Linked DNA regions of Coturnix japonica. The protein of the gene in region 1 interacts with the protein of each later gene in a pairwise test. Links are inferred from orthologs where the notes say so. Each region holds a gene or a part of one and is shown on either strand. Other genes may lie near its edges.

Region 1 (5,557 bases):
TACTGAAGATATCGTCACGGCTGTTGCTGCTCTCTCTTTGAGCTCTTCATGCTCGTCAAACATTGTAATCTAATAATACAACATCCCCCCAAACCAGACTGCAGCTTCTAAACTCTGGTGGGATTTAATTTCATCCTGATGTTCTTGCTCGCCCCCTTTCCATCTCTCTGTTGCTGTATGCATGGAAGGGAATAGAGCTGCATTTTGTTTAATCTTCCTTCAGCCCTTCATCCATTCTCCCAGCACAGAGCTGGTGCAACACGAAGCTTGTGAAATACAGTTTTGGCTTCAGAGAACACAAATACAAGATTTCACCTCATTGTTAATACTTCTGTGTCAACCATATTTTTCAGTCACAATGCTCATCAGAGCCAGCTGATATACTATGCCACAGGGTGAAGAAACAAGGTGAGGAGCATATTGAAATAACTGTTGTTATTTCAGCAGGAACAACAGTTCTAAAGTGCACCTCTCTGGGAGTCTGGCAAACACTCCCCAAGCTCCCAGAAACCTCTTATCATCTGTTTTACTGTAAATACTTGTCAACAGCCAAACATGGTACCCATAAGATTTCTGCATAGGTGCCCATCACATAGTCTGTAGAGTCTACTTCGGCCATCATGTTTTGTTGAAGACACTGCTGCACCATCTCCCTGGCACTTCACAAACCCCAAAGGAGCTAACTTGCCTAATAATCTTTCTTGAGACCTCCAATTTGCCTGTGTGCAAGCCTTCAGATTAATGTTGCCCCTGGGTAAGAAAATTTGTTTTTCACCTGAAATATATTGGGTCAATGAAGGCCCATTTGGAAAAACCATTTAAAACAACATCATCCACCAACACACATTTCACAGAAAACAGATGCTGGAAGAGTCCACCAGGCTCCAAAACCAACCATTTGGGTCCTTACTTCTGCTGTGGTTGCTGCTGTGCAGGTCCCTGGGGCCACTACCCGACTGGCTGTCCTCCGAGGTGGGGCTGAAGGCTGGGTTCACCAGCCCCGGCTCATCGGTCATTAAGGCGATGGCTGCAGCTGCAGAGAGCTCAGGGCTCAGAGCAGCTACTGCCAGGCTGGAGCTGCGGTCTGGGGAGCAGTCCTGGGAACGCCGCTTCCGTTCCTTGGTAAGGCCATAGTGGGATGCTCCTTTGCATCTGTGGAGAAGGTAAGGAAAGGAGATGTGATTACAGACTGTACTGAAATGTTGCCTAATTATGGAGATTGGCCAGTTCTGAGGAATTACTCAGAATGCAAAATGTGACTGTCACCCTGATCTCAGCTCTGGTCAGCCTGCCTGGTCACCATGCAGTGACACCAGGAGCCTGGTACCACACTCTTTCGTCCTCTCCAATCTCAAGGCTGGTTCTAAAACAATTCCAGGGAAAAATCCAGCTCCTAAATTCTGACCTGGCTTTAGTAATGATAAAATCCTCCATTTCTGATGGAGAGGAGTGTACTCCCAGATATAACCAACTTGTGACCCCAGCTGTCTGCTCTGGGCTCATCCCAGACAGCAAGAATGGGACAATGCACGGCATTTCCTTCTCAGACTTCCTAAAGACCATCACTCCAAGTAAATTAAAGATCGCAGTGCTCTTCTTGGTTCAATATTTAATTAAGGCTATAAAACAACCAAAGAGACAGAGTGGCCCAAGGAGACAGCACCTGTGACTTCTCCTCCAGCCCTGTGAACCCCCTAGAACCTCATTTACAACATTAGAACAGAATCCACCTTTGAATCGTGACCTAATGAGCTCGGCCTACTATTTGCTGCTACAGTTCTCTCTTTTTTCATAGCAGAAGCTAACTGATGACTTTCATAAAAATACCCTGCAGGACAAACTCACAGAAATAGCTGCAGAAATCCTTAGGGATAGAAAGCTCTTCGTAATATATGGCATGCACAAAAGGCAATGCATAATACATACCGTACACAGTGCTAATGGGTTAAGTGTCAGAGAAAAAGTAGTATGCTGAGTAGAGGTCTTAGGAGAGAAATGATTTATGGAAGCAGTGCCTGGGACAGAAAGATGAGACGAGGATGAATCGCAGAGCTCTCTGTGTCAGCTTAGGAGCAGTGACTTAAATTCTCTTGCAGTATTTGCTTTTTAAGAGGGAATTAAATTAACTTTTTAAAGCACCGAATTATGATTTACCATCACTTACCTCATACCACTTTGGATAACTTCCCTCTCACAGAGGAAAAAAAACCAAGCTGTATCACACTGATGCAGCTGTGTGGGAGCTTTGTACATGCTTTAAGCTTTGGATGGGAATGCCTGTGGCAGAAGCTATTTCTAAACCCTTTCATAAGCAAAAAGATACATCTCAAAAGAAAATACTCCCTTGTGGAAAAGAGAGTTGCTTGACTATTTCAAAAGATCAACAAGATCTGTTCCAAGACAAGGCTGTGAGAAGGAAGGGAGGAGCCCTCCTGCCCCCATTGCAGTTCCTTCTCCCATAAACACGGTATAAATTCACCACTTGCTTGAGCTCTGTCAAGCTGTATGTTCACCAGAACCTTGTTGCTGGGGAGTCATTCCTGTGAATGAATCCTAAAAGGCAGATGCTTTATTATTTTCATTGGGTTGCATGAAGATGAGCATGAAGCATCTCCTGTGTAACTAGTGACAAGACTAGAGTAGGCCTTAAGTTGCACCAAGGGAGGTTCAGTTGGATATTAGGAAAATTCTCTTCTCTGAAAGAGTGGTCAGGTGCTGGAATGGGCTGCCCAGGGAGGTGGCTGAGTCACTGCCTCCAGAGATGTTCAAGAAACATTTAGATGTTGTACTAAGTGATGAGGTATAATTGAGGAATACTGGTGGTAGAGGAATGGTTGGAATAGATGGTCTTGGAGGTCTTTTCTAGCCTTGATAATTCTATGGCTCTATGATCAGAAGGGGCTTCGTGCAAAGATTTCTCCATACAGCTGGAGGGTCCAGCTGCTATGGGTGCCCATCTGCTCAGTGCGGCTGACTTCACTTTTCCATGCAAATATTCCCTTGCTGCTGCTGGTGCTACAGACACCTGGTCACCAGCATCTGTCCAACTGCAGGAGAAGCCTTTGAATGCAGAGAGGACTGATGGAGTTTAAGATGTGGCTTATTGGAGAAGACAACTTATCATGACACAAAACACAAAGCATATCTTTCTAATTCTGCCAGAAATAGTTAAAAGAGAAGCAAAGCTCTTCAAGCATAAGCACTGAATCTATTTCTTAAATAACTGTGGCAGGAATAAATGAACACAAGACAAGCCTTCTTTCTTCAGATTAACACAATGTCCTTGAAGAATGAAAAAAGTCCTCAAACTTGTAATAAAATCTGCAACAGCATCTCTTCACTTTCATTGTTTTCCTTGTGCTGACACTGCTGTGATAACAGAAAACAGAAAGAGACAACTGTCTAAGTGGAATCATATTTATAGTGTCTCAGCTACATTTTTCCATATGGTTGGGTTTGGCTCCCAGAAAAGAAAGATCCATAAAACAGCTACATGCCACTACTAATTATCTCCCTCACTGTGATTATTAATCAGCTGCCTGATTTACAGCTGGAAGAGAGGGATGGAAATCCCAGCAGGATACCTGACTAACGGGGGGCAGCCCTAGAGTGAGCCCAGTGCTGTCTGGTGGCCAAGGTGAACTGCAGATTTATGTTCCTTCTCAGTTGCTCTGGACAGAGCATAATTCCACGCAGCTGCCTGATATCAAAATGATTTGAAGGCCAAAAGTGGGAGATAAAAACAGACATGAAAAATGCAGAGTACAGCCCGTGACATCCAAGTAGCGTCTCTAGGTGTGCATGAGAAATCTGGAAAATGGTTTCTTCTGTTTGCACAACCTCTTTTGTCAAGCAGCAACATGCCATCTGAAATACTGGCTGCATGATGGTTATCCTCTGCTTAGGGAAGAATTGCTCCCTCCTGCTGTGGCAGCAAGTCCAGGAGGGACTGGAGCCACAGCTCTGATCACTTACTCCATGGCCTCTGATAAAACCCAGGCCAAAACAGCTTCAGTATAATAGCTCCCTTCTGATCTTACGTTGCAAAAAGCCTCCCACAAACTGATCTTGGAAGGCCATAGTGGCTGTTGAACCTTCACCCGGTGCAGTAGACTTAGCTGCGGGTTTACCATGGCTGTGCCTGGCTCTGCATGCGAGGGGTCCTGTGGTCCCATCCCCAGGGGCAGCACGTCCCAAGTGAGGACTGAGGGATCCAGAACCACATGTCTGCCTTAACTTGGTCTTACTGCTTATCAAAACAAACTTCTGCCAAACCCACAGCCAACAGAAACATTTCCAAGTTATTGCAAATTCAAGTGAAAGAAGCAGTTTTAAAACAAGGATGCATTTCCCCTGCAAAATCCCTAACTCACATTGTGGAGCAAGAAGAGATGCAAAGTGAAGGACTTCCATCACCCTGGTGGATGCAGGAGTGAAACATTAAGACAAACAAGGGAAACCTGACAGACATTTCAATTCTAGTGATGAAAATGCACATCTAGTGATAAAAATATAACACCTTTTCTCTCCGATAAACACTCTGCCTTCCGTCTGTGCCACCTCTCAGGCCAGCCCTCCCCAGCTCACAGCTGACTGTCCAGACAGGGGCTGGCAATGGCTCTGGAGCAGCAGCAGCAGCGCTCAGCCATGCTGTGCTACAAGCAAACGGAGCAGCGGCGGTACCCGCCCATGTCGCACCGCTCTTTCCTGACCTCACTCCCGTCGTTGTCTTGTTTTGGTACTGTTTTGTTTCAACGCAGCTGCGGCGGACACATTGTCTGAGTGCAATTAAGAATAATGTATACAAAGTACTCACGAAAATACAGCATAATGGGCTGTCATCGCTGATCCCAAGCTTGGCCCTGATTAGGGCAGGCAAGTATGTTTCGGCTATGCCCTCGCTGCAAGCAGTCTCATCCTTGTGTAATTTGGGCTCCATACAAGCCAGGATCGGGGTACCAACAACGTGCATCATACCCTGACTGCATCATACAGCCCCCTGACTGCTACTACTCCCACATGGATCTGTCAGAAAGGCTGATGGAGACACTGAAGGCCACCAACATCCCCATAACCCTCCTTGTGAGGCTTCCTGATGTGAACCTGCTGAGAGGTCCATACCTTACCTGTAAGGCAGAAGGGATCTGAAACACTGTGGCTGCCTCACAAAGAGGTGCTGGCAGTTCCTGCCCCACAAGGACTTGTTCACACATTGAAAGACTGCAGCTCAAACATAACCCAAACACCAACCACATGGGCTTCAGGCCCAAAGCCTAAACTCTAAAGCCGTCCAAAACTCCATCCTAAGCAAGTGACTTGGTTGGACCCCAGGCAGAGCTCACTCCGACTCTCCTCATCTTACTTGTGACAATAGCACACCAGAAACCAGAGCCAAAAATGAAAGAGGAGTGAAAAACATGAACTCCAGCTGAGTCTGGAGTTACATACACATCTAAATGAAAAGGTAGCAAATGCGTATCTCAATTCCAGCCCAAGAACATCAGGCCAGAAAAATCAAAACACTGAACAGTGAAGGTGACCAATACCTGCTGCTCTG
Region 2 (6,292 bases), on another chromosome or scaffold:
AGTGACAGCTGTGGAGGCGTAGCGCTGATTGCTGTTCACTTTGATGACAGGGCCCTGCGAAAGAGAAGATGCAGAGCTATGGCACAGGGACACACTCTATTACTTACATAGTTCTAAGTGCCCAGTGCCCAGGAGAGACCCACAGTCAGAAATGCTGTGCCACCCCCTGGATCCTACAAGTGAACAGCCCCAGCTCTAAGCCAAGGGAGATGTCCACAGATAGGGCTGTGGTTCTATGTAATTAACTCCAGCAATGTGGCACAAGTGCATTGTGTGGCAGGACAAAGGTCTCCTGTGAAACTGCTGCCAAGTTGCACTCTGGGCAGTGTCTGTGTGTTTCACTGCTGAACAGACAGATGGCAGCAGGTCTGGCACAAAGCAGAAGGCTGCGCTCACCTTGTGGAAGGCTGGCCGATGATTTTCCTCATGCTTGTCCCTGCAAAAGAGAAGGAGTTTCATGCTGCAATCCCCATTACAAGAACTGTCCTGCCACTACGCCAGCAGGAGTGCAAAAGATGCGTCCCCACGTGCAACGTGGCAGGGTTCAGAGTACTCACACGTAGTTAGGGTGCACCGCATGGGCCATGTCAGCACTGATCATGTAGGACTTGGCCACAGCCTCCTCAAAGGCTGTCAGGTTTTGTGGTGATGCTGAGATTCGACGCAGCACCAGCTCTGTCAGAAGGGACTCGGCACCCTGCGCACTCTCTGACCCTACCTGCCAGGAAGACCATCAGCACAACCCACCCAGCAACACCCCAGCCACCTCCAGCGCTCCATGTCAGCTGAGGGATAGCAAGCTCCCCACACCCAGCAAAGAGGCTTCCAACTCACTCCCTGCCAGGCCCAGGGTGGGGTGAGCAAACCCTATGGTGCTCCATGGGTGGCTGGGATGTAAGTCCTAATCATTGGTGGAAGGAGAACAGAACACAGAGCCCCTGTGTGTGCCAGCTGCCCCACGGCTATGCCCCTCACCTCCTCGTTGTCATAGAGTGCAATGAGGCGCACGTTGGGCTCCTGGGAGAGGGAGGGAGCTGTGCACGAGTCAATCAGTGCCTGGAGAGACAGAGGAGGAGAAGGAGCACTAGCGTAAGTGCCACCCCATCCTAGGAAGCTCAGCACTGAACTGGCTGGAACATCCCCAGGAAAGTCTAAGGCACCAAGGAAAGGAGCTGTGGGTACATTGGAGATGCTAGGAATGCCACACACCCAGCACAAGGGGGCAGCCACTGTCCAACCCCAGGCCCTTTGACGAGCAAGGATCCCTGCAACAGGACCCAGCTAACAGACCAGCAAAGCTAAGTCAAGACACAAGAGGGCCATGACAAAGCCCCAAGGCTCCTTCCTTCCTTCTCTCACCTGCAGAGCACAGTAGCAGCTGTGCAAGTTGTCCAGACGTGGGGAGAAGATGAACTCATCAAAGGCACCACCAAGAGTCTGCAGTCAAAGAACAAGGAGTAGGGCACAGGTTTGGGGACAACAAAGAGCAGGTGTGATGTGTCTCCAGCCCAGTCCCCACCTCTGCCCCCTAGAAGGCATTTCCTTTCAGTCGGTTCAGCTCCCAGCCCTGCATGCCCCAGGCAGAGGAAGCGTGCTGTGCATGGGAGCTGGGCAGTGCCAGCCTGCAGGCATGTTGCATACAGGTAGAAGGAGGCTCTGTTGTACTCACCGCTGGCTGCGTATCCGCCAGGCATAATTCCAGCTCCACAATCTGCTCTGGTTTCACTCCCAGCTGGGAGCAGAGCAGGGAAAGCAGGACAGGGCTGTGTCTCTCTGTCTGGGAAAACAGCAGAGCTGTGGGCAGTGCAAAGTGATGGATGGCAGAGAAACTTTCCCATTCCTTCCTCACACTGCAGTCCTAGGCTTCCTGTCTACTCACATACTCTGCATCTGAGCACTCAACCCACAAAGGGCAGCAGTGGTGCTCACAGGGCATAGTGAGGGGCTCTCTCCCATTGTTCAACCTCCCCTCCCTCCTCTGAGAGAAAAGGGGGGGCCATACATGACAGCTTTATGGGGGATTTCCACTTTTCTTTAGGATGAATGCAGGCTAGGGTGGGAACAGACAACAGTGGAGCACATGTGCTGTGTAAGTGGTTCTGAGTGGAGCTGAGAGCAAGTAGCTGTGAATGGGAAGGACGAGAACTTGCTGGCAGGGAGCTCTGAGGACTAGAGATCAAAAGATGGCATGTGAGAGACCTTAGTGAGCCTCCCCCTTGTCCTTAGGAACCCACTCACCTGGGCTGCAGCAACGCCAGCTGTGCGCTCTGTGGATGGTTCTTTTTCCAGCTCCTCCTGCACAGCAGTAGCCAGTATGGGAACCCTGTGGGGAGACAGTGTCAGCAGCTGCCAGGCCATTGCTTACCCCTTGGGGACTGGCTGAATGGAGCAAGGACACTCTAAACTTAAAGCACAGACCTACTGTGCCACCTTAGGACACCCCAGTGCTAATCCCCAAGCCCTTCACTATAAGTGAAGCCATTGTTGTCCACCCCACTGCAATGAGGGATAGAACAGGGGCTGGGCACCGCTGCAGCTGTGAGGATCGAGCCAGGCCTTACAGGTGGTGCTCGGTGTTGGGTCCAAAGTTCTCATTGATGCTGCGCTGCAGATGGATGGCCAGATGGGGGATGCGGAGAATGGGCCGTTCCACACACACCAGCCGCTGCTCCAGTCGCCCTGTGTTTGGCTCCTGAAATACCAGCAGGACCATTAAGCTGCCTCACTGGGCCAGGTCTGCAGGACTCAGAGGTGGCAGGAGCAGCAGCGTGTTTTACCCCACAGCCCCCAGCCGGGCTCACCTTGACGATCACCCTTCCTGCCACAGTGAGGTCACGGTCAAACCATGTGTTCCAGATGCCTCCTCCATAGGTCTCCACACCAACCTGCACCGTGCCCACCTGCCCTCGCTTGGAGCGTCGCTTCACCTGGATGGATGCAGAGATGACACCAGGGATTGGGACCGGGAAGAGCATGCCCAGAGCCCACCAGCGTGCCTTGAAGTGCTTGGTAGGGAGGGGAACGCAAAAGTGGAGCAATGCGGGGAGTCAGCACCCTGCAGGGGGGGACAGGGAGATGTCAGAGCAATAAGGCATCGGGAAGGTCTCACCCTGAGGCAGGGGCTGTCGGTGTGTGCCCCCAGCAGGCTGAACCCATTCCCCGGCTGGAAGCGACCCCCGACGGCGAAGGCAATGAGCGTGGAGTAGTTCCTGGTGACAAAGTACTGCGGGGAGGAGGAAGGGGGGCGGTGTACGGAGCAGGACGTGACAGCCGCGCTCCCCACGTGCCCCCCAGCCCCGGTCCCACCTTGCAGGAGGGGCGGATGTCCCAGTGCTCGGTCTCCTTCAGCTCCTGGAAGCCGGCCTGCAGCAGGCGGCTGCGGCACTCGGCCACCACTGCGGGGAAGGCCCGGTCAGACGGCTGGCTCAGTTACAGCCGGTAGAGGGGCGGCGGGGGGGGCTCTTACCATGGTACGGGGACGGGCCGCGGTTGACGAACCTCACCAGCTCCTGCGCCGCCGCCTGCACGGCCTGCTTCGGACCCACCGCCTGCGGGCACCCACACCGGGCTCAGCCGGGAGCCGCCCCGCTCCCCGAACCCCCCCATCCCTCCCGGTACCGAACCCCCCCCCCAACCCCGTGCTCCGCTGCCGCCCGCCCGGTACCTGCATGGCCGCCACCGCCCCGCCCCCCCTCCCGCTCTCCCCCCTCTCTGACCCCCCGTCAAAGCGAGACCTTGGTGGCACATTGAAACTGGAATCTGGGCCTGGAAACTGGTGGTCCGGCTGCCGTGACCCCGGCAGCCCTGAATCCCAGCCCAGCACCTGCCTTACCCCTCAATAAAATAAAAAGGAACGGGCCCCCCTGCCGGGCACACAGCCAGAGGACAGCTGGGGGGTCTCCATGCCAACCGCGGCCATCACAGCTAAACACAGGGCGTGCCGTATCCACGGCCTGCAGCCTCCTGCCGGGGGGCTCGGGGGGCTCGGGGTATGTGGATCAGCTGCGGGCCCCCAGGGCAGGGGGTGCTCGCTTAGTCCCCAATGGATGAGTATGGGATCGGGGTGCCGGGGGTGCGGGGTGAGTGGCGGGGCCGGGTGTGGCCCCGCTGCAGTGGGCAAAGGGCAGCGCCTTGGCACGCGGCTGCTAATTCCCAGAGCCGCAGGGGCTTCCTGGAAAAGCTGCCGGCGGCTATTCCTGGGTGCTCCCTGACTCACCCTGCACCTGCCGCCCCATCACTGCCCCACCCTGCAGCGCTCAGTGCGGCACGGACCCTCGTGTCCCACCACGGGGCTCCTGAGTGCGCCCACGGGTGCCGTGCCCCTTCCCGTGGCTATAGGGCCGTGCGGCTGGAGCTGAGCCCCGCTGGAAGGGGTTAAGGGCCAGGCGGCCAGGATGGATGCGCAAAGCTCCGGGAAGGGCCGCCCCTTTCTCCCCCCAGGCACCCGCCCTGCCGGGATGAGAGCAGGGATGGCACCCGACTGCTGCCGAGCCCCCACCCCAGGACACGTGTCGCTGCATGGGAAAGTGAAGTCAGCGGCCGCGCATTGCTGGAGGCTGAGCGCACGGCCGCCCTTACGCCAACCACCAGCCATGCGGTGGGACGGGAGCTGCCTCATCTCACTGGTATGGGTGATGCCATCGAGGCCATGGAGATGGACAACACAGCATCCTTCTGGGCCGTGAGGGTGGCGAGTTATCCCACATCTCTGTGGGCTGCCAGGACAGCTGTGGGCATCCCCACGGCCTGTGACACAGATGGACATCTCTGCATCCCCATGGGTCACAGTAGATGTGGCTGATGGGTGCAGGCAGCCTCACAGGGCGTAGAGGTGGCTGTCTCCCAGCATCCTCACTGGGCCATAACAAGTGCCCCCACAATGTCCCCATGGATGAAGGTGACAACACATCAACAGGTGACAACTCACATGGATTGAGGGGGCCATGCCCTTCATTCATATGGATTTTGGGGTCAGCCAGCCACCCCCAGCATCCCCATGGCACTCAAGGACAAGCAGCCACCCCCAGCATCCCTAATCCTGGGGCAGGAGGGATGTAGACTGGGGCTGCTGTGTGCCCATGCTGACAGCATGAAGGGAGCAGCAAACAGTGGCTTCTGGGGGCACCCAGGGCTCCATGGGACCCCAGTATGCTGGCTGGGCTGCACTCCAGGCACGGAGGAAGAGTGATCTCCTATTTAGACAATAGCACGCGCCTAAGAGAACAGGCGCCTGCTCCTTCCCTCTTAGGGTAAAGGCGCCTCGGAGGCTCGTGTCTGTAAAAGGAGCGGGATGGAGGGAGACGGCCGGGGGCCAGCAAAGTGGGGGGGACACCCTGGCTGCTCCTTTCTCACCCGCATCAGGAGGAGGCCAGGCAGGGCCTGGACCTGCCCAGCAGCACTGTGATACGAGACCCAGTGGCAGCTGGTGCCCCATCCCTGCATCCCGCCTGGCTGCAGCCCCCAGTGCCCGCAGCCCCAGGGAGGCTGTGCCCGGATCCCCGCGTGCCTTAAATCCTGGGGGAGCAGCAGGGAGGGAGGGCCATGGAGGAGGGCCGGCTGCGGGTTGCAGCTGGTTTGGCTCACGGCGTTGTTTGACATTCTGGCTCCCGATGCCTTCATCCCGGGGCCCTGCGGGAGCTGGGGCCAAGCCAGCACTGGGGATTGGGGCCCCGTTCCCAGGCTCCGTCTGGGTCAGCATGGCCTGGGCTGGAGCCGAATGATGCTGAGCGTGGTGGGGGATATCGCTTGGGTCCACAACTGGAGGGACCACGCTAAGTTTGTCCCCAGTGCTGTGGAGTCGGACAAACCCAGCACGTGGCTGAGGACCCATTTGCCCACACCTCCACTTCCCGCTCCTCCCGCCTCCTTACTGAACCGTGGGGAAGGGAATTTCCTAAGAGGCGTCTGTCCCTCTGTCGGCCCTATGCCAAATGCAGGGACTCTGCACTGCTCTGTCCCGGAAGGCTGTAGGGCGGCCAAGGAAAGGCCACTTCAGAAAGTGCATTCCAGAGGGGGGTCAGCGCCATGCTGGGAGCCACTCCCCACACACAGTGTGTTGACCCCAACCCTGACCTGGAGCAGCAGGATAGAGTCACAGGAAGGGACAGCTGAGCAGTGGGGCTGTGCTGGTGTGGGGACCTGTGTGCCCCTTCGCATCTCAGCCACGGGCTGATGCATGGGGTCAGAGATGAACTGGGCACGGTCAGAGCAGGGAAGGGGGGCAGAGGGAGGAAGGATGCTGTATGTTTTTCCATCTTCTCCTTCTCGTCCCTCAAGCCCCCCCTTACACAAT

Evidence for each region.
Region 2: the proteins of LNX1 (region 1) and DNPEP interact in a two-hybrid assay, tested with the Homo sapiens proteins (3 studies listed by BioGRID and IntAct). The link is inferred for Coturnix japonica from reciprocal best matches to the Homo sapiens genes LNX1 and DNPEP.

The regions. Positions count from the first base shown.
Region 1 is NC_029519.1:59,282,946-59,288,502, reverse strand, and holds part of LNX1 (E3 ubiquitin-protein ligase LNX), read right to left. Parts: intron 1,153-5,557; coding exon 896-1,152; intron 1-895.
Region 2 is NC_029522.1:24,542,932-24,549,223, forward strand, and holds the start of DNPEP (aspartyl aminopeptidase), read right to left. Parts: upstream 3,693-6,292; 5' UTR 3,671-3,692; coding exon 3,665-3,670; intron 3,549-3,664; coding exon 3,467-3,548; intron 3,396-3,466; coding exon 3,307-3,395; intron 3,224-3,306; coding exon 3,110-3,223; intron 2,928-3,109; coding exon 2,802-2,927; intron 2,693-2,801; coding exon 2,562-2,692; intron 2,324-2,561; coding exon 2,239-2,323; intron 1,778-2,238; coding exon 1,670-1,777; intron 1,438-1,669; coding exon 1,360-1,437; intron 1,057-1,359; coding exon 976-1,056; intron 719-975; coding exon 558-718; intron 437-557; coding exon 397-436; intron 55-396; coding exon 1-54.